Linked DNA regions of Lonchura striata. The protein of the gene in region 1 interacts with the protein of each later gene in a pairwise test. Links are inferred from orthologs where the notes say so. Each region holds a gene or a part of one and is shown in the gene's direction. Other genes may lie near its edges.

The links.
Region 2: the proteins of TRIM54 (region 1) and SH2D1B interact in binary tests that used the Homo sapiens proteins (3 or more experiments, as listed by UniProt). The two-hybrid records come from large-scale screens. The link is inferred for Lonchura striata from reciprocal best matches to the Homo sapiens genes TRIM54 and SH2D1B.
Region 3: the proteins of TRIM54 (region 1) and LENG1 interact in binary tests that used the Homo sapiens proteins (3 or more experiments, as listed by UniProt). The two-hybrid records come from large-scale screens. The link is inferred for Lonchura striata from reciprocal best matches to the Homo sapiens genes TRIM54 and LENG1.
Region 4: the proteins of TRIM54 (region 1) and KLHL38 interact in binary tests that used the Homo sapiens proteins (3 or more experiments, as listed by UniProt). The two-hybrid records come from large-scale screens. The link is inferred for Lonchura striata from reciprocal best matches to the Homo sapiens genes TRIM54 and KLHL38.

Annotation. Positions count from the first base shown.
Region 1 is NC_134605.1:113,724,005-113,730,841, reverse strand, and holds the start of TRIM54 (tripartite motif-containing protein 54), read left to right. Parts: upstream 1-3,830; 5' UTR 3,831-3,916; coding exon 3,917-4,084; intron 4,085-4,511; coding exon 4,512-4,684; intron 4,685-5,003; coding exon 5,004-5,175; intron 5,176-5,251; coding exon 5,252-5,347; intron 5,348-5,464; coding exon 5,465-5,698; intron 5,699-5,902; coding exon 5,903-5,925; intron 5,926-5,997; coding exon 5,998-6,140; intron 6,141-6,479; coding exon 6,480-6,581; intron 6,582-6,719; coding exon 6,720-6,758; intron 6,759-6,837. Other genes in the region: DNAJC5G (dnaJ homolog subfamily C member 5G), read left to right, coding at 1,008-1,120, 1,350-1,563, 1,724-1,877, 2,423-2,502. UniProt on the Homo sapiens protein: May bind and stabilize microtubules during myotubes formation.
Region 2 is NC_134604.1:2,908,819-2,916,505, reverse strand, and holds the start of SH2D1B (SH2 domain-containing protein 1B), read left to right. Parts: upstream 1-4,678; coding exon 4,679-4,917; intron 4,918-7,687. UniProt on the Homo sapiens protein: Cytoplasmic adapter regulating receptors of the signaling lymphocytic activation molecule (SLAM) family such as CD84, SLAMF1, LY9 and CD244. In SLAM signaling seems to cooperate with SH2D1A/SAP.
Region 3 is NC_134640.1:2,371,407-2,378,552, forward strand, and holds the start of LENG1 (leukocyte receptor cluster member 1), read left to right. Parts: upstream 1-4,138; 5' UTR 4,139-4,194; coding exon 4,195-4,326; intron 4,327-4,799; coding exon 4,800-4,937; intron 4,938-7,146. Other genes in the region: membrane-bound acylglycerophosphatidylinositol O-acyltransferase MBOAT7, read left to right, coding at 1,663-2,831, 3,854-4,098.
Region 4 is NC_134603.1:12,475,122-12,483,057, forward strand, and holds the start of KLHL38 (kelch-like protein 38), read left to right. Parts: upstream 1-4,918; 5' UTR 4,919-5,121; exon of another isoform or gene 5,122-5,151; intron 5,152-5,699; 5' UTR 5,700-5,827; coding exon 5,828-7,177; intron 7,178-7,936.

The DNA of each region.
Region 1 (6,837 bases):
TCCAAAGGGCAGCGGCAGCCTTGCCCCCCCCCCTCGGCCCCACCACCGACGGCAGCAGGGAATCCCGGGGGCGGGGGTCTGCCCCGGTACCCGCGCCGTCCCGGGCCCGGCCGTGCCCTCACCACCTCTTCGCCGCCGTTTTGTACCAATAAAGGAGCAGCGCGATCCCCGAGTGCCGCCTCCTGCTGCCGCCGGACCGGGGTCAGGTGGTGCGGGCCGTGCCCTGTACCGCGTGTCACCCGTGCCCTGTACCGGGTGTCACCGGGCGGGCCGTGCCCTGTACCGGGTGTCACCAGATGGGCCGTGCCTTGTACCGGGTGTCACCGGGCGGGCCGTGCCCTGTACCGCGTGTCGCCGGGCGGGCCGTGCCCTGTACCGGGCGGGCCGTGCCTTGTACCGCGTGTCGCCGGGCGGGCCGTGCCCTGTACCGGGCGGGCCGTGCCCTGTACCGGGAGGGCCGTGCCCTGTACCGGGTGTCGCCGGGCGGGCCGTGCCCTGTACCGGGAGGGCCGTGCCCTGTACCGGGTGTCACCGGGCGGGCCGTGCCCTGTACCGGGTGTCGCCGGGCGGGCCGTGCCCTGTACCGGGCGGGCCGTGCCCTGTACCGCGTGTCACCGGGAGGGCCGTGCCCTGTACCGGGAGGACCGTGCCCTGTACCGGGTGTCGCCGGGCGGGCCGTGCCTTGTACCGGTGTCACCGGGCGGGCCGTGCCCTGTACCAAGTGTCACCGGGCGGGCCGTGCCCTGTACCGGTGTCACCGGGCGGGCCGTGCCCTGTACCGGGTGTCGCCGGGCGGGCCGTGCCCTGTACCGGGCGGGCCGTGCCCTGTACCGGTGTCACCGGGCGGGCCGTGCCCTGTACCGGTGTCACCGGGCGGGCCGTGCCCTGTACCGGGTCGCGGGCGGCGCCTGCGCAGAGCGGCGGCGGCGCGGGCGGAAGCGGCGGCGGGGCGGGGCCGTGGCGGTCGGTGCCGCGTCCCGTCCGACCCCGCGACCCTCGGCGCGGCCATGGCGGAGCCCCCGCGGCCGCAGCGGAAGCTGTCCCGGGTCGGGGAGAGCCTGTACCGCGTGCTGGGGCTGCAGAAGGGCAGCTCCCCCGAGGAGATCAAGAAGGCCTATCGGTACGGGGGGGTCCGCGCGGTCCCTGGGAGCCCGGGCGTGAGGGTCCGTCCCGCGAGCGCGGCCGGGATCTCGTCCGGATGGTCCCGGTGCCGTCCCGGCGGTCAGGGTCGGTTCCGGGAAGCGAGGCTGTAACCCGTGCCGGGGGTCCTGGGTCCCTACCGGGGCCGTGGGCTGTCCCGGGGAGCGAGGCTGTGAGCCCATGCCGGGGGTCCCCGGTTCACCCCACAGGAAGCTGGCTCTCAAGTACCATCCGGACAAGAACCCCGATGACCCGGCGGCAGCCGAGCGGTTCAAGGAGATCAACAGCGCCCACGCCACGCTGAGCGACGCGGACAAGCGCCGCCTGTATGACCAGTACGGCTCCCTCGGCCTCTACGTGGCCGAGCAGTTCGGCGACGATGCCGTCCGGCACTACTTCCTCATGTCCAAGTGGTGGTTCAAGGTGAGCCCGGCATCGTCCGGTGTCCGTGGGGCTGGCGTGACGGGGCTGGCGGGTCACTGGCTCAGCGGTTTGGCAGGCTGGTGGCTTGAGTGGGGTCTTAGCCCTGCTGTGATGGGTCAGGGACTTGGGTGAGCTCACAGCACGTTTGTCCCTGACACAGGCACTGGTGCTGTGCTGTGGAGCCCTCACCTGCTGCTGCTGCTGCTGCTGTTGCTTCTTCTGCTGTGGGACGTGCTGCCCGCCCAAGGAGGATGAGTCCTACAAGTATGTGGACCCCAAGGACCTGGAGGCACAGATGTGTGCAGAGGACAGCGGTAAGTCAGGCGGGAGCCAGTGGCTAGGAGCACCTGTGTTTGCTTGGTGGGGGCTCTGGGATCTCCCCTTATTCCATCTTGTGTGGGGGACAGAGTTCTGGCTCAGATGTTGGGTTGGTTTTAGTCACAGCTCTTACAGCCAGCCCTTGGTGTTTCCTGTGTGGGTCAGGGCTGGTGGCAGTGACAGTGCCAGGCAGACATTGCACGGGCCATGGGTACACCTTCTCCTTCCCTCTGGACACAGGCCCCCTGAACAGGCCTGAAGCTTAGAGACCCTGGGGCCTGTGCCCTTTGGGACACAGAGCACGGGAAGAGCAGCTGTGCTCCAGGCCAGCTGTTCCCTGGCACCAGCCATACTGGTGTCAGTGGGGCTGGGTGACTCCTGCAGGTTTCCTTGGGGTCGGGGCACTCCCATGGCCCTCTGCACTGGGCAGGGGTATGGGGGCTTTGGGCTGTGGGGGCCCTTGAGGCAGTGTTGTGAGATTCCTGCTCACTGGCACCACAGGATGGGGCTGAGCCACTGATCTGCAGCTCTTCCTTTCCAGATCCTCAGATCCCTGTTATAGCACAGCCCGCGCCTGCCAGCACGGACCCACTGCCAGCCAGCACCAGGAGTGATGCCTGAGGCTGGCCCCATCCCGCCGGCTCCCTGAGGACTCGGGGCAGGGATTCTCCTTTGGGACTGTCACTTTCTGGGACCACGGTCCCACCCCCCAGACTGGCTCATCAGCCTCGGGAGGGATATAATCTCAGGTTAATTTGGCCAGCATCAATGCACAGGCTCCTGGGCCCCTGCTCGAGCTCCAGGGCAATGCCCCAGCACTGGTGGTGGCAGTGGCCTGGAGCCCATGCTGCCATGGCCCCCTTGAGTGCCTTGCCGGTGCCCAGGTCGGGCAGCAAGCAGCAGGCACGAGCAGGGACGCTCCGGGCCGAGCTCTGCAGGGAGCCAAGCGCGTCCGAGACCATTAGCACTGTAACCTCTGGGGCTGGGCTGAGCCCGCTGCCCCCCTGCAGCCCTCCCGCTGGGTGCTGGGTGCCAAACGCTGCTGTGGAGTTGGGGTGCTCCTGTCTGTGCCCCTTTCCTCTGCCCTCTGGGTTTGTCTAGGTTTTTGTGGGCACCATTAAAGGCCGACGGGAGGGGAGTGTGTGTGCCTGGGTTCTGTCCGTCGGTGGTAGGATGTGCCTCTGCCTGGTGTTGTCCATGCTGGGGGCTGTGCCCATGGATCCTGCAGGGTGCTGTGGGGACTAACTGGGGTGTGCAGTAGGCAGGTCACGTCCTGTGTGGAATGGTCATGTCTAGTGTAGTGAATGTCACTGGTCTCCTGTCACCCACCTGGGTCCCGCTCTGTCCCCTGCTGCTGGCTCCCGCAGGCTCTGCTCTTCCCTCTCCTTGCTGCTGCCATCCTGGAGCCCTGCTCCCCCCTGCCGGCACTGCCCCTGCTCCTGCCCCGCTCTCCTGCGGAGGGCTAGGACTGGCAGGGATGGGACCAAGGGGGACACTGTGAGCCGCTTGCACTTTCTTCCCATGTCTGGTCACTGCCACTGCCCGCAGCTGCATGGGCTCTGCCTCACTCCCTAAATATAGCCAGGGTGCCAGGGTGAGTGAGGATGGGGGTGTCCTGGCTCCAGCCCCTCCACCCTGCTCTTCGGAGGGGCTGGCACTGGGCTGTGGGATCTGCGGGACCCCAACCTCCCCCAGCCCTGCTGGGGGACACATACTCCTCAGCATGACTGCCAGCCCTGCACCCCTGCACCAGCCAGGCCCGGTCCCCGGAGCCTCGGCCGCTCCTCCTCCCGGGCAGGGGATCAGCGGGTCCCGAAGCGCAGCGGGTCCCGGGACCAGCCGGTCCCTAGGGTGGGCAGGAGCGGTGACTCAGTGTCACCCGACGCCGCCGACAGCTGCGGCCCCGGCGGGGCGGGGGCGGCTAAAATTAGCGCCGGGGGCCGGGGCCGGGGCCGAAACAAAGCGGGCACCGGGCGGCCGGAGCGGAGCCGCGAGACAGAGCCGGGTCGGGCCGGGCCGGGTCGGGACCGCAGCCATGAACTTCGCGGTAGGGCTGAAGCCGCTTCTGGCGGAGGCGCGGAGCATGGAGAGCCTGGAGAAGCAGCTCATCTGCCCCATCTGCCTGGAGATGTTCTCCAAGCCCGTGGTCATCCTGCCCTGCCAGCACAACCTCTGCCGCAAGTGCGCCAACGACGTCTTCCAGGTGGGACCCGCCGGTGGGGCGCGGGGAGGCACCGGGACCTAGGCATTAGGACCCCAGTCCGGCGGGTGGTGGCCCCGTTATCCCGGGATCCCCGGCCAGCGAGGCGGAGGGGCGGGCGGCACCAGAGCACCGGGATCCTCTTCGCAGAGGGGCCTGGTCTGACACCGGCACCGGCAATCCCGGCTGGGCTGTGCCCGGTGCCACTCTCGGCCGGCGGAGACGGTGAACGGGAAGCAGAGCCCGTGTAGGAGTCCTTGTTTGTCTCCACACCCGTGTCCTGTCCGTGCTCCTGCCCGTCTCCGCCTCTGTTTCCGTGCCATGGCCGTGCCCGGGCGCGTCCCGGGGGCTGTGGGGTGCAGATCCGCGGGGCTGGGAGGTGCCGGGGGTGCGGGGTGCCGCCGCCGTGACCCCTCGCGTACCCCCCCAGGCCTCCAACCCTCTGTGGCAGTCACGGGGCTCCAGCGCGGTGCCGTCGGGCGGGCGGTTCCGGTGCCCGTCCTGCCGGCACGAGGTGGTGCTAGACCGGCACGGGGTGTACGGATTGCAGCGGAACCTGCTCGTGGAGAACATCATCGACATCTACAAGCAGGAGTCGGCCCGGTCCGGAGGCGTGGGGACCCCGGGGCGGGCAGGGCGAGACCTGCGGGTGACAGCAAACCCAGCGAGAGGGCTCGGGGTGGGATCCCAGCAGGAACTGGGGAGCCATGGGGTCCATATAGGGCCAGGGAATATCCCTGGGGCTGCGGGTCTCTCCAGGGCCAGCGGTATTTCTGCTGCCAGCAGTGTCCCTGCAGCTGAAGGGTCCCTGGGAGCCAGAGGTGTCTTGAGGGCTGGGCAGATCCCGGGGCTGGTGCTGTCTCTGAAGCTGGGGTGCCTCTGGGGCCAAGGTGTCTACCTGATACCCCAAACCGCCATGTAGACCCCTTCATGCCAAGGCTGAGCAGCACCTGATGTGCGAGGAGCACGAGGACGAGCGGATCAACATCTACTGCCTGCGCTGTGAGGTGCCCACCTGCTCCCTCTGCAAGGTGTTCGGGGCGCACAAGGACTGCGAGGTGGCCCCGCTGCCGGCCGTCTACCAGCGCCAGAAGGTGGGGGGACCCTGGGGTCTCGGGGGGCTGAGAGTGCCTGCACAGCCACCCTCACACCCAGCCCCTCTCCTGCCAGAGCGAGCTCAGCGATGGCATTGCCATGCTGGTGGCGGGGAATGACCGGATCCAGGCCATCATCACACAGATGGAGGAGATCTGCCACACCATCGAGGTTGGGACCGAGGGTTCTGGCCCGGGGCTGTGGCAGTGGGGGGATGTGGTGCGCTGGCAGTGTCCAGCCCTGGGGCTGTGCTGGGGGGACACGGCGCAGCCCTGGCTCTGTCCGCAGGAGAACGGCCGGCGGCAGAAGCAGCATGTGGGGCTGCGGTTTGATGCGCTCTACGGGATCCTGGAGGAGCGCAAGAAGGAGCTGCTGCAGAGCATCGCAGCCGAGCAGGAGGCCAAGCTGCAGCGAGTCCGTGGGCTCATCCGCCAGTACGGAGACCACCTGGAGGCCTCCTCCAAGCTGGTGGAGTCAGCCATCCAGGCCATGGAGGAGCCCCAGATGGCCCTGTACCTGCAGGTCCTGCCAGGGGAGCAGGGAGAGAAGGGACAGGGGGGCTGTGTGGTGCTGCCATGGTGTTCCCTGAGGGGCATGGGGCTGCTCACAGGTCTAAACGGGGGGCTGTGCTCACCCAAAAGGATCTGTGGATGCCCCTGGATGTGCCCCACCTGTGGTGGGGGTGATGTCTAGAAGACACTGATCCCGCCTCGTTTTCCTTCACAGCACTCCAAGGAACTCCTGAAAAAGTGAGTGGGGACTATGGAGGGAAAAGACCTTTGGCTGGTGGCCCTCTGGGTGCTGGACCCTGCAGCTCCCAGGGTGTCTCTGCCCTGCAGGATCACAGACATGTCCAAGGCATCAATGAGCAGCCGCCCTGAGCCTGGCTATGAGAACATGGACCACTTCTCCATCAACGTGGACTATGTGGCTGAGATGCTGAGGACCATCGAGTTCCAGACAGGTGCCTGCACTGGGGAAACTGCTGCTGTCCTGAGGGGGTGCTGGGACTGCCTGGGGTGCCCAGAGCCCCAGGCGGAGCCCCCCTCACCACATGCCCTGTGTGGGAATCCCACGCAGGACTGGGGATGTGACCTTCACCTGTAGCTCCACCCAGGGGCCCTGGAGGGTCAGTCCTGCCCAGGCTCTCCCTGGTTCCCACACTGGGCTGGTCACATTCCTCCTAGGAACGTCCATCCTGGAGCGTCCTGCTCCATCACCTCCCTCCTGCATGCCCTAGTGTATCCCCATGATGCAGGAGGGAGGGAGGGAAGGTCCCACCTGAGCTGTCCCCTGCCCACAGAGCCCCTGGGTGAGGATGAGGGGGATGGACCTGGGGACGGCAGTGAGGCTGCAGCAGACGAGGACCGGCTGGACAGTCTGGAGGTGCCCGAAGCTGCTGAAGGTGAGTGCCTGCCCTGACTGCCCAGGGCTGTGTCCAGTGCCAGCCTTCGGCTGTGCCGTGGTCTCCGTGTGGCAGCACGTGTCCTTCAGGGTGCTGGGGCATCCTTGCCTCATTCTTGCTCCCTCTCTCCCGCTGCAGATGTGGGGCCGAGGCAGAAGCCAGCGAGCTCTCCCCATGGTGAGACCTCATGGGAGTGAGATGGGCACGGCCATGGGGTGCCGTGGGGCAGAGGAGACCTGCTGGGAGTGGGGATGAG
Region 2 (7,687 bases), on another chromosome or scaffold:
AGTGCAGTTCTATGTGATGGAGTATGTAGCAGAAGTGCAGAAACGTGAATAAGTGCAAGTGAGGTTTGTCACTTCCTACAGCTTTATTTGCACATTTCTTAACAGGAAGGCAGTAATCTGGGGGCATCATGACCTGAGATAATTTCTTACTGCATTTCATTAATTAATTTATGTGACATTTGAGACCAATGAATGATGTCTTAGAAGCTGAATTTTCACATTTTTATATTTTTGTAGGAAAGAACTAAAATGGCTACATTCCTTCTTTCTGTTGCAGTGAAATTGTTTTAAAATAAGTACGCCTCATATATAAACTGGTCATTCAGTATTGTTTCACTCTAATTCACTCCAAGGGATCTTTTAACAAGAGCCTCAGTTACCTTGCCTCAGAGGCAGATCATAACACTTAAATACAAACAGCTCCGAGTAATTATAAGCTCAGAGAGTAATTGAATATGGATCACTCTGAACCCTGACAATATGGTTGCCAGTGAGAAGGAAATTGCTGTTTTATGACTCTATCCTATAAATATACATTTAAGCAAAATTCTAGATCATTTTGAGACCAGAACCCTCTACTTACACATATTCATGTATCTTGTAAACATTTTTTAATTGTTTGGCTCCGTGACTTTTTAATTCAAATTTTAACACAGACAAGTTTGAACTACCATTCTCAGTTCATTTTGAACTACCATTTTCTCTTTACTTGTATTTTAAAAAACAGGCAGTATGTTAAGAAGGTTATAAAACAGGCTTTTCCTCCTAGGTTTATATATTATTAGACAGCTAATGAGAGAGTTCTGACTCCTTGAGGCTCCACTGACAGCTGCAGCAGCAATCTCTAAGTAATAGACACACTAGTTCAATTTTCTTCTTGAATTTGCATCATTATGATTTTACTTTCAGTCTCAAGTAAATCTTGCCATCAACAGATCCTACCAAAAAAATCCCTTTGTATCCAGGCACAGTAAATTGCAAAAGTAGAGCCTGGTGTAGATATCATGCTAAAGCTGTAAATTGAAATTAAATGTAATTTTTTGCTGTAACAGTTCTTGCAAAAACATTCTTGTTCTGTTGGTAGAGTAAGCCACAGGACTTAGTTCCAGTAAGCTGGGACTGCAACACAGCTCAAATTGCAGATTTAGCTAGAGCTCAACTTACTTTCTGTTTTCTTACATTGTGGCTGTTTTTATCTTTCTGGCCAGATAAACAAATGACCTTCAGTTCCTTGCTGGTTTTGCTCTTGAGCAGAGCTTTTATTTAGCCCTGATATCCCACACTGATAATTTACTGAACAGCTGACCCTTCTCCCCAGATTTCCTGTTCTTACAGAAGGCACTGGCAAGAGCTTTGCTGTGCTAGAGCTGCAGCTGGGAGACATTGCAGAACCAGAGCTCCAACTGTGCTTGTCGACATGAGCTGTCACTGTGAAATAGCCTTGCTAAGTTTTACAATAACAGGAGTCAAAAAAAAAAAAAAAAAAAAAGAAAAGAAAATTAGTCCAGGCAGCTGAATGGCAGAAAACCCATATGGCTTAGCACTGCTGCCAAAATGTTGCAGGTCTCGTTTCTCTAACACCTATTTGTGAAGGGAAGAGTGGCTAACTATCCTCCTCTTCTAATCAGAAGAATTGCTTATTTATAGGCATCAAATTTTATAGAAGTAGTAGCCAAACCGGTCCCAGAGAAAAGAGAACTATGCAAGAAAAGGTGGCTTATGGAAAAAGATTTCCTTCAGAAGTGATTGCATTAACTTCAGAAAGCATAAGGTTGACTGAAGGATGTGATTGTTTTGACACACAGATTTTTAGCAAACAGAGGATTTTTAGGAAACTATGTTTTTTCACCCTGCTACGGTAGAAGCAGGCCAAGATTGAATCTTTCAGGAAAAAGGACTTTGGTTTTCCCCTGCTCTCTCCCACCTGAAAGGATAGTCACTGCAGGAGGCTATCCTAGGAACTATGAAATCTCCTTAAGTGGATGAGGAATAAAAAACAACCCTATTTTATTTTGGAGTGGAGTAAATAAAATTACTTTAAGCACAGATTAACAAGAGCTATTGCTCAGTTTGCTTCCAGCTCCCCAGGTTTCTCATCACACATTTAATCAGACTTAATATCATCAGGTCATATTTCTTACCACTCTTCAGACCTGCCTGGGTATGCAGGTTTGTGCAAGCCAAAAATACTTGTGAGATTTGTTAAGGTGGAAATGTTTGTGTTAGGAAATGTCTGCTCAGAGTTTACATTAGGCTACATTAGGCCCATGGAAATATATTGTTATGTGACTCCTACAGGCACTGTAAAGATTCCATGCTGTGCATACGAGTTGTGGTGAGGCTCATGGTGCAGCTCTTTGAGGTCTGACAAGGAAATCCCCCCTTGCCAGGTGTTACACAAGCATCCACCAACAGGTATCCCAAACAGAATAGAAGCCCTGTTGTGTTTTTGGCAGAAGCTGTGTGGTTTTGCCCTGGATTAGCCCTCGAACACACACACATACACAAACCCACACCCACATGTATTTAGTGACTGACCAAACCATATTTACAGCCTCTCTCCTGTCTTGTTGCTGTAGAGACAGGATGGGAATGAGAAGACTCTGACTCAGAAGGCTGCTGAGAGTAAAACTGCTTTATTCAAAATACCCTGCTCTTTTATACAGAGCTTTGCAAGGATCAAATCCATTGGTTCTGAAGAGAAAACAACCCACAGCATTGGTGCAAAGTGCTTGACACACAGTGATAGAACTTAACTATAAACAATGTGAACAACAAGAGAGATAAAGAATTATTTACATTCTTTCCCAGGCTTTTTGCCTGGCTAGAAAGTCTCAGTTTCTTTCTTTGACTAAATCTAAGACCCACACTGTCTCGCTCCCAGACCCCTTTCTCTAATATATTTCAATGATTTCTGCTTGTAAATCAAGCATTCTATCTTATTCTCAGGTTCACTTGAATATTACAGACAGATAAGGTTGAGGTAAAAGGACAATGTTCATTCCTGAATGCTCTCAGGGAGCTGTACCCACAACTGAGGAGGAAGGTGATCAGGCCAGTTGGTGGTGATTGCTGCTGGAAGGAGACCCCAGCCCCATTTCTCCTCAAGCACGTCCTCCTTCTTAAGATTTTTTTTTTTTTTTAATCAAACACTCTGCTAATCCGACAGCAGGTAGTGTGTGGTTGCTGTTTCACTTTAAGTAAATTCTACATTAAGATCTGCAAGATCTACTGAAACTACCATCTTATATTTCTGCACCTAGGTAATGAGACCTTCAGGGAAAATTGTGAAGAATGTCTACTTATTACCTTCTCAAAAGAGGAATTTGCAGTTCTTTCCCATCCACCTTCCTTTCAATGCAAGCAGAGAACCTGCCTGAAGCAGGACGGTGCTGAGCAGTTGCTGCTCTTCATTTGCAGAGCTGGGCTTCTGGAAAAGCTATTCACCTCACAATACCTCATGGAAAATGTTTATTTATACAATGTGTAGGAAAAAAGCCACAGTTTTAACCTGAGAAAAATACAAGTGCATTTGATGAGAAGGTGAATCTTTGTCACATAAGGATGTTTGTTCTTCAAGATGCTTACAAGACCAGGATATTTCCCTCCTGATATCACTATCCCCATCCCATTGGAGGATAAAATAGGACTTATTCCAAATGCAACTGTCTGCAGACAGCTGAAACTGGAGGATCTAAATATCTAAACAAGCTCACCTTCTTGGTGGTCAGGACTTGTTTTATCAGAAACTTGTGGTCACTGCAGGACAGACTTCAGCAACAGCAGCACCTTGGACTTGCCATTTCTCAGTTTCTCTCTTGGTATATCTTTCTTTCTTAAGTTTTTACATTTCTTTGAGACAAAACAGAACCTTTTTAGAGTTACTTTATTCCTCAACTAGCTAAGATACCACCTGGAAATTATCTCGGTGTGATGCATGATCAAGTTTCAGTTAAACACACAAATGTTAACGTAAGATTTTTGTGTGTACAAAGTTGTCAGAGAAAAAACACAAATGTAACAGCTGCATGAAAAACATGGTTGTTTTTGCTTACAGTGTTCCATCAGTATTTATGCTGGTTTTTTCACAGATTTTTTTTCTCTGTGATCAGGATGACAGGAGTCCTGGCATCTCACACTGTTCCTTCATTAAATACTTTTTGTCATTCTACAGTTTATTTTGAGGAAATTTGTTTAAACCTCTGCACGAACAGCGAATTGCCAACTTTTTTCTGGCACGTCCTATAGCTTCATGACTGATGTTGATTCAAATATCACACACACTTATTTTCTCTTCTCAAAATCACCTGAAAAAAGACAAGAGTTCTTTTAGATAATTTTATCCTCCCCTATACAGTCCTGACACTCCTGAAGCATAGGACCCTACTTGCTGGGCTTTGAGCAACTTTAAACAATAAATTTAAGTTAAAAATGTCACCTCAGTGTTAACTTAGTGATTTCATAGCTTAGAGGTGTGATAAATAACCCAAAATTCTGCTGGTATAATGTGACAAAAGTGTCTTCCTTTTTGATGTGGACTGTGACCAGTGTAGACCAACCTTTTCCTGCCCCATGAGCTCATGAGCTGTCGAGCTGCAGAGCTCACCCACCTCACTGGGGACAGTTCAGCAAAAAACACAGATGAGCTCCTGTGTGTCCTTGGCACCTCCAGCTTCAGATGCCCACAAGCAGCTGCTTTTGGAACAAGGTTTCTTCTCATGACAGGCTTCTGACTTGCTCTGGAATTGCGTTGAAAGGCAAGATACCCTGTTTTGTTTGGTCCATGGAATTCCCATTTTTTCACGGAAAGATAACAAAGAAAGCCTGTGAAGAGCTGCTGAGCAAGAAGAAAAAGAATGGCAGCTATTTAATACGGGAGAGTGAGAGTGTGGAAGGAGCCTTGTGTCTCTGTGTTTTGTAAGTAGCCCAACACTGATTTTTTTATGAGCTTTCAGTTGGATCCAAAGACAACAATCATCTTCTCTAACACTGATAGTTCTTCCCTGATAATAACTACAAGGGACTGTGTCTATTCAAGTATTCAAGTGATGCTTTAAGTTTCCTTTATAGTGACTGGTGAGGGTGTGGCATTTCCAAAAAACTATTTAATGCAACAGATGATAAATTAATAATGTGGTGATGCTGGTCTCTCTCTGCAGAGAATAAGGGGAGCCCAGAGAAAATGCCTCAGCCTGCCAAAATATGCTAAGATCCTTGCTCAAAGTAACTGCCTCTGTAGTGATGAGTAAACAGCATTTTAGCATTGTTGAAACACTGAAAATTCTCATGGTGTGTTGCAAAACACTTCCTTCTTTGTAGACTTTCTGTCTGATAAAAGCTCAGCCTTGTGGTTCATAGGAATTTTACCTGATATAAGAACATTGGCTGAAGCTGAAAATTACAAAGTTCTGTAAAAAGAAAAGATGGGCTTAGAAAACTGTTCCTTCTAGGCCGAAGTTTTAATTGCTACAATTAAAATTTTATTATTTTCTTGTTCTGTAGGGACTAGCACTTTTATTTCCCTTTTTACACTTTTCATATGTAATTGATCTGTTCATAATGCAGTCAAAGTTTAAAAATTAGAATCTAGGTCTTTGTTTGAACCTATGAAGTTTCATACTCTCGTTGCGGGTACATTTGAGTGTGACATGAAAACCTTTTGACACATCTAATTAATGAACAAATATGAGAAGACGTTTTTATCAATCACTAAAAATTAATTTCTTATGAAACAAATCAATGGAGAGGGGAGAAAAAGGGAGAGAGAAATGGAGTACTGTTGGGTTGGTGGGTAGAAGAAAGGAGATCTGCAAAATAACAATGAGTAGAAGAGAAATAGCAAGTTGGGGACAAATAGAGCAGTCAGCAAGAGAGCTACAGGAACCTGCTTTGAGTGTGGTGTGGAATGAGACAATGCTGAGGGGAGGGCAGGAAGGTGGGAGGGAAGGCACATGCATACCTTGTCCAAAGGAAGGGACAAATGGGGAACCTGACACAGAGGAAGAGTGACAATGGGTTAGGCCTTGTGCCACACCAACACAGTTGCTTCTCCTTTCATCTTTTTTTTTTTTTAAAGGCAAAGCAGATTTGCCTTGTGATGTCTTGCAGACATACTTTGGCCTGTCACATCTGCCTGCCACAATATTCTGCGCAGGCACATGAACAATCATCACTTCCAGTTTGCCTCTGTGGGTTTTAGTGTTAAAAGCTGATAAAAATGGAAGTGTTCGGGGGATTTGTCTATAATCCTGACATGGAGAAATGCCACAGTTAAACTGTGAGAGCAGCAGCAGTGGTACACAGGTGGTGGCTTGCACAGGTCAGAGCAAGGCTAATGTTCAGACAGCACATGGGATGGTGTTAGTGCTCTGGCTGAGAATTGCCCCAGAACCTGGCTGCCTGGCAGTGGTTCACTAGGCAAAGTGTCCTGAAACTGGGGGCAACCAACACTGAAACTCTCAGTGGTGTTCAAAGGCAACTTTTGAATTAGCATTGCATCTCACACCTTGTTTAGCAACTAACATGGTTCATGTGCAAACTGAAAAACCCTTCTCACATTAACTGATGTGTGGGCAGAGACACTGATCCACTTGCTACAGCAAACAAACTTACTTTCATGTCCTTTTTTACTGTGATACGGGGCAGAGTGCATTCCCATGGAGGACTTGGGAGGCAGAATGGTGTGACCAGTTCTAATGCATCTCTCCTTTAATCGAGCAAGGTGCAGGGCTTTTCCTCCACAGCACACTGTCTCTTTCACCTAGAATTATCCCAGGTCTCTGACAGCACCTCACTTCAGACTTGCTGGTTTTGCTACTGTTCTCCTTACTGTTCAACATGCCATTCTCCCTCTCACGTCACTTTTCTTCCAGACCAAACATTTTGTTTATTTGTACCCTTTACTAGCTCTTGGTATGCATTTAGTAGTTAATGAGGAGACAGAAGTTTCCATTTTAATGATAGCTTCATGTTCATTTTGTAAAAATTATAGTACCTGAATAATATCCAGGCAGAAACATTTTAATACTTAGTTGATCAGTATAGAACAAGTTTCAGAAAGGATCAGTTCCTGGTATTTCTTTTTCTCACTTTTATGTCTCTGTAAGCATTCACATTTGTAGAAGTACTTTTCAGCATGGAACAGATATCTCAAGAAGACAAGAAACAAAATATGCATCCCTGTGATACCACTTTTTGAATTAAATTAAATATGTTATAACTGAAAGCCTTATTCTGATCTCAGTTCATAGTAAGGTTTTTTTTTGCAGAACAAAGTTGTTTATTTTCAGTAACCCTTAACTTCTGTGCAAGTGCCCTGAGCCAGTTTTCTGCCACAAGATCCTCCTTCTCATGGCAGTTCACTTCACATAGCCACAGCTGAAGTCCTCCTGATGAACAGGCACACAAGTTAAAAAAACTTGTATTCAGATGCTCTCCCCAACCTCCTCACTTATTTGTGATGTATATTTTCTTGCAACTCTGCTACCTTTTTTGACCACAGACAAGATCTTCAGTCCACCTCCTGAAGTGCTGCTACTAGCAAGCTTTTATTTCTGTTGACAAAATATATTCAAAGACATCAGTAGCCTCAGTGTTCAAACACCTGCTTATTATCAAAAGTAACAATAACTCAAACCCTGGGAAATGCAAAGGAAGAACATTATTCTCAGAAGTAGGAGCCATACAG
Region 3 (7,146 bases), on another chromosome or scaffold:
TTGGGAGTTGTAAACTGAATTTTGGGTTATTAGGCTGGACTTTGGGAGGTGTAAACTGAATTTTGGGTTATTAGGCTGGACTTTGGGAGATGTAAACTGAATTTTGGGTGCTGGGGCTGGACTTTGAGAGGTGCAAGCTGAATTTTGGGTTATTAGGCTGGACTTTGGGAGTTGTAAACTGAATTTTGGGTTATTAGGCTGGACTTTGAGAGGCGTAAACTGAATTTTGGGTTATTAGGCTGGACTTTGAGAGGTGTAAACTGAATTTTGGGTTATTAGGCTGGACTTTGGGAGTTGTAAACTGAATTTTGGGTTATTAGGCTGGACTTTGGGAGGTGTAAACTGAATTTTGGGTGCTGGGGCTGGACTTTGAGAGGCGTAAACTGAATTTTGGGTTATTAGGCTGGACTCTGAGAGGCACAAACTGAATTTTGGGTTATTAGGCTGGACTCTGAGAGGCACAAACTGAATTTTGGGTTATTGGGCTGGACTTTGAGAGGTGTAAACTGAATTTTGGGTTATTAGGCTGGACTTTGAGAGGCGTAAACTGAATTTTGGGTTATTAGGCTGGACTTTGAGAGGTGTACACTGAATTTTGGGTTATTAGGCTGGACTTTGAGAGGCGTAAACTGAATTTTAGGTGCTTGGGCTGGACTTTGGGAGTTGTAGACTGAATTTTGGGTTATTAGGCTGGACTTTGAGAGGCACAAACTGAATTTTGGGTTATTAGGCTGGACTTTGGGAGGTGTAAACTGAATTTTGCGTTATTAGGCTGGACTTTGGGAGGCGTAAACTGAAATTTAGGTGCTTGGGCTGGACTTTGGGAGTTGTAAACTGAATTTTGGGTGCCTAAATTGAACTTTCTGTTGGGCAAGCTGCACTTTGCAGCGCACAAACTGAATTTTGGGTTATTGGGCTGGACTTTGAGAGGTGTAAACTGAATTTTGGGTTATTAGGCTGGACTCTGAGAGGCACAAACTCCATTTTGGGTGCATAAATTGAACTTTCTGTGGAGCAAGCTGCACTTCGCAGCGCACAAACTGAATTTTGGGTTATTAGGCTGGACTTTGAGAGGTGTAAACTGAATTTTGCGTTATTAGGCTGGACTTTGGGAAGTGTAAACTGAATTTTGCGTTATTAGGCTGGACTTTGGGAGTTGTAAACTGAATTTTGGGTGCCTAAATTGAACTTTCTGTTGGGCAAGCTGCACTTTGCAGCGCACAAACTGAATTTTGGGTTATTAGGCTGGACTTTGAGAGGTGTAAACTGAATTTTGGGTTATTAGGCTGGACTTTGAGAGGCGTAAACTGAATTTTAGGTGCTTGGGCTGGACTCTGAGAGGCGTAAACTCAATTTTGGGTGCCTAAATTGAACTTTCTGTGGAGCAAGCTGCACTTCGCAGCGCACAAACTGAATTTTGGGTGCTTGGGCTGGACTCTGAGAGGCACAAACTGAATTTTGGGTTATTAGGCTGGACTCTGAGAGGCACAAACTCCATTTTGGGTGCCTAAATTGAACTTTCTGTGGAGCAAGCTGCACTTCGCAGCGCACAACCCAAACTTCATACCGCTCGTGCCGAATTCGAGGCCGCACCAACACCGTTCAAACACCTCCCTGACCCCATTCCCCCCTTTTTTCCCCCCAAAAACCTCCCCCCTGCAGGAACGCCTGGACCATGCTGGCCTCGGCGTACTGGCACGGCCTGCACGGCGGGCAGTACCTGTCGTTCCTCAGCGTGCCGCTGTGGCTGGCGGCCGAGGCGGCGGCCGAGGCGGCGCTGGGCGCGCGTTTCGGGGCGCCGCTGGAGCGGCTGGGCGGCTGGAGGGGCTCGGCGCTGCGCGGGGCGCAGTGGTTCCTCAAGATGAGGGCGTTCGAGTACCTGAGCGTGGGCTTCGTGCTGCGCGGCGCCGCCGACACGCTGCGCTACTGGGCCTCGGTGCATTTCTGCCTCCACGTGCTGCCGCTGCTCATCCTGCTGGCGGCCGCGGGCAGCGGAGCGCGGGGAAGGGGGACGGGGAACGGGCGGGAACGGGGGAACGGGCGGGAGAACGGGCGGGAACGGGAGAACGGGCGGGAATGGGAGAATGGGCGGGAATGGGAGAATGGGCGGGAACGGGAGAATGGGCGGGAACGGGAGAATGGGCGGGAAGAGGGGAGGGAAAAAGGGCGGGAAGAGGGGAGGGGAAAAGGGCGGGAAAAGGGGCGTGAGGGGGAGTGCGGGGGAGGGGAGGAGACAGTGAGGAGGAGGCGGGAGCGCTGTGAGGGGGAGGGTGGGGAGCTCCTGAATCCTGAAATCCATGAGGGATGGGAGCCCCTGAATCCTAAAATTCAGGAGGCTAGGGAGACCCTGAATCCTAAAGTTCAAAAATGTGGGGAGCCCCTAAAATCTAAAATCCATGAGGGATGGGAGCCCCTGAATCCTAAAATTCAGGAGGCTAGGGAGACCCTGAATCCTAAAATCCATGAGGGATGGGAACCTCTAAATCCTAAAATTCAGGAGGCTGGGGAGACCCTGAATCCTAAAGTTCAAAAATGTGGGGAGCCCCTGAATCCTAAAGTTCAGGAATGTGGGGAGCCCCTAAATCCTAAAATTCATGAGGGATGGGAGCCCCTAAAATCTAAAACCCATGAGGGATGGGAGCCCCTGAATCCTAAAATTCAGGAGGTTGGGGAGACCCTGAATCCTAAAATTCATGAGGGATGGGATCCTCTAAATCCTAAAATTCAGGAGGCTGGGGAGACCCTGAATCCTAAAATTCAAAAATGTGGGGAGACCCTGAATCCTAAAATTCAGGAGAGTGGGGAGCCCCTGAATCCTAAAGTTCAGGAATGTGGGGAGACCCTGAATCCTAAAGTTCATGAGGGATGGGACCCTATAAATCCTAAAATTCAGGAATTTGGGGAGCCCCTGATTCCTAAAGTTCAGGAGAGAGGGGAGCCCCTAAAATCTAAAATTCATGAGGGATGGGATCCTCTAAATCCTAAAATCCAGGAGAGTGGGGAGCCCCTAAAATCTAAAATCCATGAGGGATGGGAGCCTCTAAATCCTAAAATTCAGGAATATGGGGAGCCTCTGAACCCTAAAATCCATGAGGGATGGGATCCTATAAATCCTAAAACCCCTGAGGGATTGGACCCCTCGAACCCCAAATTTCAGGAGGGCGGGGAGCCCCAAAATCCCCAAATTTCTGAGGGATGGAACCCCAAAAGTGATGCTGGGGAGCTGAGGAAGAGGAGGGACCCCGAGGGCCGGGCTGGGGATGAACCCCAAGAGCCAAATTTGGGGTGAGGATGAGGAGGCAGCACCCCAAAACTCTGTGGGGGGGGGGGGAGGAACCCCAGTGGAAAATGGGAGAAAAAACGCCCTGAACCCCCAAAATCCAAAATTGGAAATTGGGATCGGGGGGACCCCCGGGTGAGGAAGAGGAGGGACCCCAAAAATGAGAATTTAGGGGGTTCTCACCCCCCCTGAACCCCAATAATCAGGAATGGGGAGGATTGGGGGGCTGTGGGCACCCCCTGGGGGTTTTTTTAGGGGTGTGGGGCTGTTTTTTGGAAAGAGCCCCCCTAAAATTGAGACCAATAAAAGCTTTGAGTGACGCTCCGGGTGTGTTTGGTGCGTGTGGGGACCCCGAAAGTGCCTCGCAAAACATTAAGAGTGAATAAAACACATTTAAATGCAGCCGGATGTAAGAAATGGATCGAATCTCCCTGAACTGACCTGAGCCTGCGGCACCCTGAGGGGAATCTCGGAGGGAAATGAGGCAAAGCTGGAGGCAAATCCTTCAAATGTGCAAAGAACTCGGGCCGGGAGTTCCCCAGGAGATTTTGAGCCTTCCCTGAGGGGTTTTAGGGTGGATTTGGGGCGTCCCGAGGGGGTTTTTGGGGGAAGTTACAGAGACGTTCTCGTCTCCCCTCACGGCTCAATATGGCGGCAAGGCGGGAAACGCCACTTCCGGCCTCGCCCGGCTGAGGGAGACGGGTGAGCCAATCAGAGGAGGGGTAAAAGGCGGGACTACAGCGCTCGGCGAATCAGAGCGCGACAACGGGGCGGAGCAAAAGCCTGAGCGAATCAGAGAGCGCGAAAGGGCGGAGTGACAGGTGCTCGACCAATCAGAACAAAGAGGCAGGCAGTGAAGCCGCTGCGGCCGCGGCGCCTCAGAGCCGCGGCCTTGTCCCGCCGCCGCCGCCGCCATGAACATCCTTCCGAAGAAGTCGTGGCACGTCCGGAACAAGGACAATGTGGCGCGGGTGCGGCGGGACGAGGCGGCGGCCGAGGTGGAGCGGAGGAAACGCGAGGCGCGCGCGCTGCGGGCGGAGCAGGAGGCGAGTGCTGAGGGATAATGGGGGGGGTGTCGGGAGGGGAAAGGGGGCGGGGCTGGGTAGCGAGGAGCCAATCAGCATGAGAAGCCTTGAATATATTATAAATTAGGGGCGTGGCTTGGGGTGATTGGCATGACTTGGGGCGATTGGCGTAGGGCGGCGCGAACCATTTCCATCTATGGGGGTGGCGGGGGGGGGGATGGACTGAGTTTAAAAAGTTGTTTTATTGAGGAGGGGGCAAAATAAATTTAAAACACAATTTAGCGAAATAAATGGGAGAGGGTTTAAAAAGTCAGTGGGATGAGATTTGGGGGGGAGGGGGGCAAAACACCCGGGATGGGTAAATTTGTGAGGAGGGGAGGGGGGGTGAAAAAGCTCGATGGGGAAGGGAATATGGGGGGGGGGGGGAATCTTTTGGTGAATTTGGGGTGGGGGAGGGATTTGGGGGTCCCTGAGGCCGCTCTGTGCCCCGCCAGGTGCGCACGGAGGTGCTGCGGAAGCGGGCGCGGCTCGGGGGGCGCAGCCCGGCCCCCCCCGCGGCGCCCGCGCTGTTCCCGCCGCCCGAGGAGGCGGCGCCGAACCGCGAGCACGAGGCGGAGAAAAGGCGGGAACGGGTGAGGGTACCCCCCGGAAATCAAATTAAATTAAATTACCCCCTCGGGATAAAAGAAATCACCCCCGCGATGGGCTGAGGGTGGAAATAGCATTGGGGAAAATAAGAGGAAAAGGGTTTGGAGGGGTTGGAGACTGAAAGTCAAACACCGCGAGGAGGTGAAGGGGAAAAAATGGGGCGGTGTGAGGGGGGGAATGGGATTTGGGGGGGATTTTAGCGGGGGTTGAGGGGATTTGGGAGGAAAGGGGGAGGTTTTGGTGTTATTTGAGGGGAATTTGGGGGAAAAATGAGGTGGGTTTGGTATTTTTGAAGGGAATATGGGAGGAAATTAGGAGGTTTTGGTATTTTTGAGGGGAATTTGAGGGGAAAAATGAGGTGGGTTTGGTATTTTTGAGGGGAATTTGGGAGGAAAGGGGGAGGTTTTGGTATTTTTGAGGGGAATTTGGGAGAAAATGAGGTGGTTTTGGTATTTTTTGGGGAATTTGGAAGAAAAGGGGGAGGTTTTGGTATTGGAGGGGATCAGCTGAATCCCAGTTCCCCAATTTTCCCCTTCAGAAATTTCCTGAGGTTGGAGGAATGGAAAAATGGGGGAATTTGTGTGGGAAATTAGAGGATTTTGGGTGGAAAAAGTGGGAATTTGTGTGGAAAAAAGGGGAATTTGGGTGGAAAAAGCAGAATTTGAGGAAAACCCGAGGTGATTTTCACCCAGGGGAGGGTCTCACCCCAAATCCCCCTCCCCAAATTTCCCCTCAGGAGTGGCTGAGATTGGAGGTGTGGGGGCTGAAAATGGGGGAATTCGTGTGGGAAATGGGGAATTTGGGTGAAAAAAAGCAGAATTTGGGTGAAAAAAAGCAGAATTTGTGTGGGAAAAAGGGGAATTTGGGTGTACAAAAGTGTCTGTTTTTGACATTGAGGGGTCTCACCCCCAATCCCCCTCCCCAATTTCCCCTCAGGAGTGGCTGAGATTGGAGGGGTGGGGGCAGAAAATGGGGGAATTTGGGTGGGAAATGGGGGAATTTGGGTGAAAAAAAGCAGAATTTGGGTGAAAAAAGCAGAATTTGTGTGGGAAAAAGGGGAATTTGGGTGTACAAAAGTGTCTGTTTTTGACATTGAGGGGTCTCACCCCCAATCCCCCTCCCCAATTTCCCCTCAGGAGTGGCTGAGATTGGAGGGGTGGGGGCAGAAAATGGGGGAATTTGGGTGGGAAATGGGGGAATTTGGGTGAAAAAAAGCGGAATTTGGGTGGAAAAAAGGGGAATTTGGGTATAAAAAAGTGGCTGTTTTTGACATTGAGGGGTCTCACCCCAAATCCCCCTCCCCAATTTTCTCTTTAGGAGTGGTTGATATTGGAGGTGTGGGGGCAGAAAATGGGGGAATTCGTGTGGGAAATGGGGGAATTTGGGTGAAAAAAAGCAGAATTTGGGTGGGAAAAAGGGGAATTTGGGTATAAAAAAGTGTCTGTTTTTGACATTGAGGGGTCTCACCCCCAAATCCCCCTCCCCAATTTTACCCCCAGGAGTGGCTGAGATTGGAGGTGTGGGGGCAGAAAATGGGGGAATTCGTGTATTAAATGGGGGAATTCGGGTGAAAAAAAGCAGAATTTGGGTGAAAAAAAGCAGAATTTGTGTGGGAAAAAGGGGAATTTGTGTGGGAAAAAGGGGAATTTGGGTATAAAAAAGTGGCTGTTTTTGACATTGAGGGTCTCACCCCCAATCCCCCTCCCCAATTTCCCCTCAGGAGCGGCTGAGATTGGAGGGGTGGGGGCAGAAAATGGCGGCATTTGGGTGGGAAATGGGAGGATTTTTGCTGTAAAAAGGCAGAATTTGGGTGAAAAAAAGGGGAATTTGTGTGGGAAAAAGGGGAATTTGGGTGTACAAAAGTGTCTGTTTTTGACATTGGGGGTCTCACCCCAAATCCCCCTCCCCAATTTTGTCTTTAGGAGTGGTTGATATTGGAGGGGTGGGGGCAGAAAATGGCGGCATTTGGGTGGGAAATGGGGGAATTTGGGTGAAAAAAAAGCAGAATTTGGGTGAAAAAAAGCAGAATTTGTGTGGGAAAAAGGGGAATTTGGGTGTACAAAAGTGTCTGTTTTTGACATTGAGGGTCTCACCCCCAATCCCCCTCCCCAATTTCCCCTCAGGAGTGGCTGAGATTGGAGGGGTGGGAGCAGAAAATGGCGGCATTTGGGTGGGAAATGGGGGAATTTGGGT
Region 4 (7,936 bases), on another chromosome or scaffold:
AACACCTGGCCATTTAGTTGTAAGATGGAGCAGTACAAATGAAAGATGGGAAAGATGTGTAGCTTTTAAGAACAATGATTGGTGGCTTACACAGGTGTAATAGGATGTTATGGCATTTTAAAGGCCTGATCCTTCTTTGGGAACATTTCTAGTACCTAAAAATAGCAGGGGCAGATCCTGAATACTTGAATGCCTTTTTTCATAGGCATTTTAGTGTTCAGACTCAGCAAGAACAGAGCAATATAGGATCTAAGTATCTTCTTGTTACTGTTGCCATGGGTCTGTAACCAGAGACTATAGAAAGGATGGATGAAGATACTTTGGTGTCCAATGATAGGGTGATACTTTATCCTCCAGCACACTGTATGCTGTACACCAAGATAAGATACCCATTCTCAAATTATGTAGTTCGAAGAAAAAGCCAGTGAGTGTCTGAAATACACATGAAGTAGCTGGTTTAGGCAAAGGACTTGTTTTAAAATATTCCAGCAAAAGTGCCCAAAGCTGTATGAGTGGTTTCTGTGAAACCTCTAGAAGCTCAGCACCCTGTAAACCAGCTACATCCTTATTTAATGTGAAGCACAGAACTTTGGCGGCCAAATTTATTTTTGCCTGAGGAGTGTTTTAATTAACGCTAGTAGGTCATTCTGACTAAAGAAGAGTGCAATTGCTTTCATCTTAATCTTTCACTCTTTAATTAGAGATTGGCCTAAAACCAAGCCAGAAGCCCACATATCTTCACACCCACGTATACTGGGCCAAAGTCATTATTGAATTACATGCTGTATCTCTCTATCTGTACACAATGCAAACAGTGACTCTTGGGATGTTTCTCTGTGACTCCAATGCTATAAAATTTGTCACCATGCCTCTATAAGTTTAGGTCAGGGGTTCAAGACCGGTATCTATAGATGTAGCCTGTTGCCCTTGCCTACAAAATCATAACCAAGCCCAGATGCTTAAAATAAGCCTTAGTTCAGCATTAAGTATTCTATCCATGTGAATGGCAGCTGTGGCAATAGAACTCAGGGAAAACATGTTTCCTGAGGAGCTAAATAGAAAATTAATAACATAATAGTTACAGAAGAATGAGAGAGAAAGACCATAAGGATATCTGGACTTAAAAGAATAGGGAGAGATCAGATAGCTGGCAAGTAGCAGCGGCAGAAGAAAGTTAGCAGATTTTTCTGTGGGCAAGAGACAGCATGCATAAATTGCAAAACAAGAAATTCTGATTGGACATATGGAAGCAGGTTGTCCAGAGAGGTTGTGAAATCTGAATCCTTCAAGATTTCAAAAGTTCATCTGAACAAGTCCCTGAGCAAGCTAATATTCTCCCAGCCTAGGCTGATCTGTCACCCCAACCAGCCACCACTGGTGCCCGAGTCATCTTCCCATCCTCTCCGTGGCATCTGATTAATTATGAACCCTGTAATTGTCTCTTTATACAATGAGAAATGTTAATCCTGGGTTTTGTTCCCTCTCCCAGTTTTATTAAGACCATAATAAGGAATATTTTTTCTTGACCCCTGTCAATTTAGACTGAAAATTTGGGTAAAGGTATGATCTGTCTCTTGATTACTGTGAGGGCTGGTGGTCACTGAGACCACATGACAGTGCACATAATACTGAATGAGCTCAGTGAAGTCTCTGTCTTGAGCATTCTTTTTTCTTTATCCATATTTGTTCATTTTCACCTGAGTTGTAATAGGATCAGTATATGAGTTTTAGAAGTTGTCTGACATCACCAATCTCTGTGCACCTGTCTGCTGGCTGGTCAGATTACAGCTTTTTTTCCGCTCTGTTGCTTAGTGCATGACATTTCATCATCCCATTAAAACTCAAGAAGAGCTTCTCTGGGTCAGATCAAAGGTTCAATCACCATAATTCCAAAACTGAATGATGCCTCTTAAACACTTAAAGAGAAAGAGCAGAAGTAGCAGAATGAGTATACAGCATTACAACAACGTGTTTGTTGTTTGGTAGATGCTTCTATTTTCTAGAAATTGGCCACGGATGGAGCTTGTACAGCAGCAATTATAGAGGGTCACCGTTTTTAATAGCCCCTGGTAGCTCCAGACCACCAGGGGCTATGGGGCACCTGCAGCATCACAACTCAAGGTGCTGCTGGGTCACATACCCTGTAAATGAGGCCATTTTCCCATTTCTGTTCAGACAAGACCATTATCTGTGCAAGATCTCATTCTCATGGTAATTTTGTCTTCCTAAAAGAAAGACCACTCAGGTCTGGTTCAGTCAATACCATACATTCCTAGAAAACTTTCCTCAAGAAATAATTTAGAAACAGATTTTATCTGACAATTTAGAGTGTCCCCCAGCAGAAACAGTTCTACCCTCTCAGCAGGGCGCATGCCTCACCTCCCCTTCCCTCCCCCCATCCCCCATAGAGTGGGGGCCATATAGGACATATTGTCCTTGGCATGAAAAGTGATTTCTAGTCTATTTATAAAGAAAATCCTAACTAAGCGGTGCTGATGTGCCCACTTTGTTGTAGATGTGTCTGAAGCCATAATCTCTGGGAAAAAATATGAAGAGAGCTGTAAGGCAAGCAGCCGGAGCTTCATTGCTCAGCTGCCCTGGCTCTAAATTGGCAGGGACCTGTGTGGGGATTCAGCAAGGAGCAACACCACCCTCCCCAAAGCAATAAGCTATTTAAGCAGCACACTCTGTACTCTGGGCTAGCAGGAATTTACGTAACTGTGCAAAGCCATCGAGCCTGGGATCTTCTAAATAAATGCCACATTTATCAGTGTCTGAAGCACAAGAACATCCTACCTAGCCTTCCCCAACCCCATAAACCTGTGTCATTAATAAAGTCAGATAGCATCTTTTCTTTCTTTAAGGGTTAAGAGAGTAATCCACAGCCACTGCCAGGAAGAGGCAGAACTAAGCAGGCAACAAGGAGCCAGAAGAGAGATATAAAGCTACATCAATCATCAGAATGGACTGCAACAAGAGCATATGCATACAGTACAAGAAAGAAAGCGAGAGGGCGTTTTGTTTGGGTAGCTAATGTTCCCTGGACAAGGAGAGAAAAAATTTTCCTTTGGTTTTTAATGCCACTCTAAATATTTATAGCAAGATCATGTCCAGCTGGTGAGTTAGCAGCAGGGAGTAGGGAGGGAGGGTACATTTTCCCCAGCACCTCAACATCATTCTTGGGTCATTTCTTTACTTAAGAAGAAGGGAAAAGGCTGTCGATTGCCATGTTTACCCTCAAAGTGACTCATCTACAAGACTCAAATCCTGGCTCCTTCTCTTCCCCTCCCTCACTTCACCTCATACACATGTGAGCACACACACACAGATTGTGTGGGCAGCCTCCAAAAAGCTACATCAGCCAGACTGCACTCTGTCTTTAACATGGGGCTGGGTCTTCAGGGTTTTGATTGCCTTCAGGCATTTCACCACTTCAGAAAGGCCATGTACAGCATGCCCATGATGCAAAGCTGCCAGTTTTAGAGGAACAGGCTGTACACATCCCTGTGATCTGCTGCACCATGGACACCAAGGCAGGTACATCTGGAGGACTGCAAACACCAGCATGGCATGGGAGTTGATATGAGGGCACTGTGACTCCTAATGATTTTTGCTCATCTGCCTTGCTGTGACTAAATACAGACATGACTCACCCGTGAGCTTTGCCTTTGAAAATATGAGAAGGACTTTTGCTTTAACTTTGTGTTTCCCTGTTGTACTGATGCTTAGAAACTACATTTTGGATTCAACCCCACCCTAGAACAAAGGGAGAAATCTCAGCAGAGATGAGGAGCCCAATCCAGTTACCCAGGCAAGGGCAGCCAACTCTATTTCTCTTGAAACATGAAGGAATGTGGTATAGAGCTGGAACACATCACACTTGACCTGCTGAAGACCCTGACAAGTCACCAGCTGGGGTTCTGGAGAATCCTCCCCTGGCACAAGACATTTGAATGATCCCAGCCCTGAGAATGGATTTAGGCTCATCATCATAGATGCCTACCATGGGAGTGTTAAATGTGGGCACCTACGTGTGATTGAGGCAGCTGAGCACCTGTGGACACCCAGCAGTGCCTGGAGGACTGTTCACCTGCCCAAATACAGGTTGCACATACTGGTGACCTGAATTACTTGGCAGACTCAGTTGTATTGACTAGACCTCACTGCCTGCAAAAGGAGCTTAGCTTGTTCATGTGCAGCCATCTGCAGTGAGGGACCCCATCAAGGTGTGTGCCCTGGGGAGCTCTGTTCCACCCTGGGAATTACCACTCTGAAATCTTGGTTTCCAGCTTGCTACTCACTGCAGCAACCTACTCCAGTCCTCCCACCTGTAACACTGAGCTTCCTCAAGCCATCTGATTGAGATGTTCTTTGCTAGGGGTTTCAGAGAGCTGAGGTCCTTAGACAAAAGGCCACAACCTGGTGTTTTCTATATGAAATATCAAGCGGCATCATAAAGATAAATCGCTCCAAGAGTGAACTTCCCTTTCTGCTTGATGAAGGTAGCTGGGCGTTCCCTTCCCACCTTGGAGCAGTGCTGGATGCAGGGGTGCCAGTGCATCAGCGTCTCCCACCACACTGCAACAGGCTGATGCTCCATAGGGTGGAGACACTGTCCGTCCCACCGGAGTCCCTCGAAGCCCTTCTTTCTCCGCCTTTCTCCATGAAACGACGGTGACAGCGTAGCGCCAGGCATTGCAGACTGTTTACAGGCTTCTAGAGTTCCCAGGCACTTTAGGACAGCGTCCTGCCACTGTTTCCAAACGGACAGCCAGGACTTTTATAAGTGAACTTTCCTCTCCGTGTCTATTTATTATATGTAAACATTTGCCAGAAAAACACCACTCGGGCATGCTCAGAAGCAGCCAGGTCATTGCAAAAGGCAGCGGCGGCAATGTCACATGCGCTCGGAGCGCGGAGCGCTGCGCGCCTATTCTTAGCGCTGGAATGTGCACAATGCCGCGCAGCGCCCGGCAGCGGGCAAACGGACTGCGGCATAAACACGGCCAGAAATCGCCCTCTATGAGTCACCTACCTACCGAAAGAAACCTCCCGTGGGTTTATAGGTTTTTGTCCAGGCTCTAGCTGTGGAAAAACTCAGCAGAGAATAAACGACAGAGAGTAAGTGCATGCAGTGAAGGACAACAGAAGGTAAACGTTTCTACCCTTCGGTTCCACTGCAGGTTGAGCAGTTAAGCCATGACCGTAGATACTCATCATATTGTTCTGCGTGGTACCTAATTTAGTCATTGTGTGTCTGATTAACATAAAAAATCCACAGCTAAGCAGAGTTAATAAATAACTTTTAATGCAGATTCCCAGCCTCTAGGGTTCCATTCGTCCTGCTGCAGAGCTCAGCTCTGCCAGATTTGCATTCTTTGGGAGTGACTAACTCTAGAGGAAAGAGGCACAAGCTACTAAACTGCTAATACTTTAAAATAGTGAATAAATGTCTAAGTGCGTTTATTCAACATGATGGAAATGGACAAAACAATTGCTTCAGCCCTCCAGCTTTAATCCAAAATCAGTGAGATAACTTCAGTGCTTTTGCTTCTTGCCAATGACACAGGCAGTGCTGACCTCAGACTTGCAACCTATCTGATAACTTTATGAAAGTTTTAAAGGGTCTTAGCGACTTTTTGGCTTCTTTATTATTTTCCCACTGTGCTTAAACCATGTTCCATTTTTATGTGTAATAGTGAACGGATATTTACAGCAACATCAAAGTCCTTATTTGTTCCCTTGGAGCTGAATTTTTCAATAAAAGCTGCTAAGAACTTGGGGCTTTTTCTGCCAAGTCCAGAATTCATCTCTCTCATATTTTGCTATGGAAGAGGGATCCACTGAAGACTTTGTCTTCAAAGACCAGGACTTCTCCTCTGAACTGCTGAGGCAGCTGAATGCTCTGCGGCAGAGCAGGATGCTGACCGATGTTACCCTCTGCTCCGGGGGCTTTGAAATCCCCTGCCACCGAAATGTGCTGGCTTCCAGCAGTCCATACTTCAAGGCAATGTTCTGTAACAACTTCAGGGAGAGTCACCAGCCTAAAGTCATTCTAAAGGGCATCGATGCTGATATTTTGGATCAGATTATCCTTTATGTTTACACTGGGGAGATTCTAATATCCACTGAGAATGTCTTGTGCCTCTTGGAGACTGCATCCATGCTGCAGTACACTAAGCTCTTTGAGGCCTGCTCTACCTACCTGCAAGACAAGCTGACCCCTGACAACTGTCTGAGCATGATCAGACTGGCAAAAGTCTTGAACTGCCAAAGCTTGAATAAGAAAGCCAAGGCTATGGCTTTGAAATGTTTTCCTGTGGTGGCCTCTTCCGAGGACCTGAAGGACCTCTGTCTCATGGAGCTCATCGATTACCTTGGGGATGATGAACTCTGTGGGGAAGAGGAGCAGGTCTTTGAGGCACTGACGGTCTGGATCCGGCATGACCTCCAGGCACGACAAGGCTACATCCAAGAGTTGTTCAAGAAGGTCCGACTTCAGTACGTCCATCCAACTTTCCTCTTCCATTTCATTGCTAATGACTCACTCGTTCAGTCCTCACCCACTTGCAGGAGCATCCTGGAGTCGGCCCGGAGACAGATGTTTTCTTTGTACAGCACCAACACGCCTGACATCAAACCCATGATGCATGTTCCTCGCAGGTACTCCAACCAAGAATTCCTCATCATCATTGGTGGCAGGAAGGACAGCCAGCAGACAATGAGGGATGTCCTGCTATATGATGACAAGACGAGCCAATGGCTGAGCCTGGCCAAACTTCCCATGCGCCTCTACAAAGCTTCTGCAGTGAGTTTACACAGCAATATTTTTGTGCTCGGAGGGATGCCTGTTAGCAATAAGAAAAGTCTGGTCAGTGGTAATATTTACATTTACTCCCTCAAACTCAATCAGTGGAGGTTGGTTGAGCACATGCTTGTTCCACGTTACTCCCACAGAAGCCTGGCATATAAAAATTATATTTTATCATTCGGTGGAATTGGTGAAAACCAGGAAGTCCTGAATTCTGTGGAAAGATATGATAGTGTCTACAACACCTGTGAGAGCATGGCAAACATGCCTGTTGCTGTCCTTCACCCTGCTGTTGCTGCCAAAGATCAGAGGGTTTACCTCTTTGGGGGAGAAGATATAATGCAAAACCCTGTTCGGCTTATCCAGGTAATGGTCAGTCCTGCTTGCAATTCTTCTAAGGTATTCAGCAGTCTATCACCTTCATGAGGAAATCAAACCACTCAAAAAACTTCATTGTGTGTTGCAGCAAGAGGCAGGATGAGTTGATCCATGGCCTCAAGCAGCATTGCAGCTCTTTCATATTCCCCTTCTGAATGTTTCCCAGGCAGCAGCCCCAGAGGCACTGCTTTGGGTGTCAGTCAGCTGTGCCACTGGTGGGCCCTAGGGCCAGGGCTGCTGCAGGTGATGCCATGGCAGGCAGCAGCAGTTCCCCCTGCCTGGCTCCATGCCTGTAGCCAATCACACCAAAATCAGTGCTTTCCACTTGGCGCTGAGCTGGGGTCCCAGCCGTGCACCTGCTCGCTCGCAGCAAACGCAAACACTCACGATCATTAGAGAGATTAGATACTCACTCATCAAAGGGCCAGAACTTAAACTGACAGTCATTTTGGATAAACAGTTGTGTTAAAAATGTGGCTCCTGCCACATGTTGCTGGCTCTTTGCCTGCTTTCAGACATTACACTCTACTAGGAGGAAAAACATACCTTACATTTTTTCTTATCTGATTTGATGCTTTAGCAACATTGAAATGTTATTTTCTCATGAGTGTTTTTCACTGTTCAAAGTGCTTTAACTAAGAAGGATCATTAAGCTAAGATGGAAACCAGGACATGAGAAATGCTTTATAACAGTACTTCATTATCAGAGTGAAGGAAATGTATTTATCAGTTAGTGGGGAGATGCCC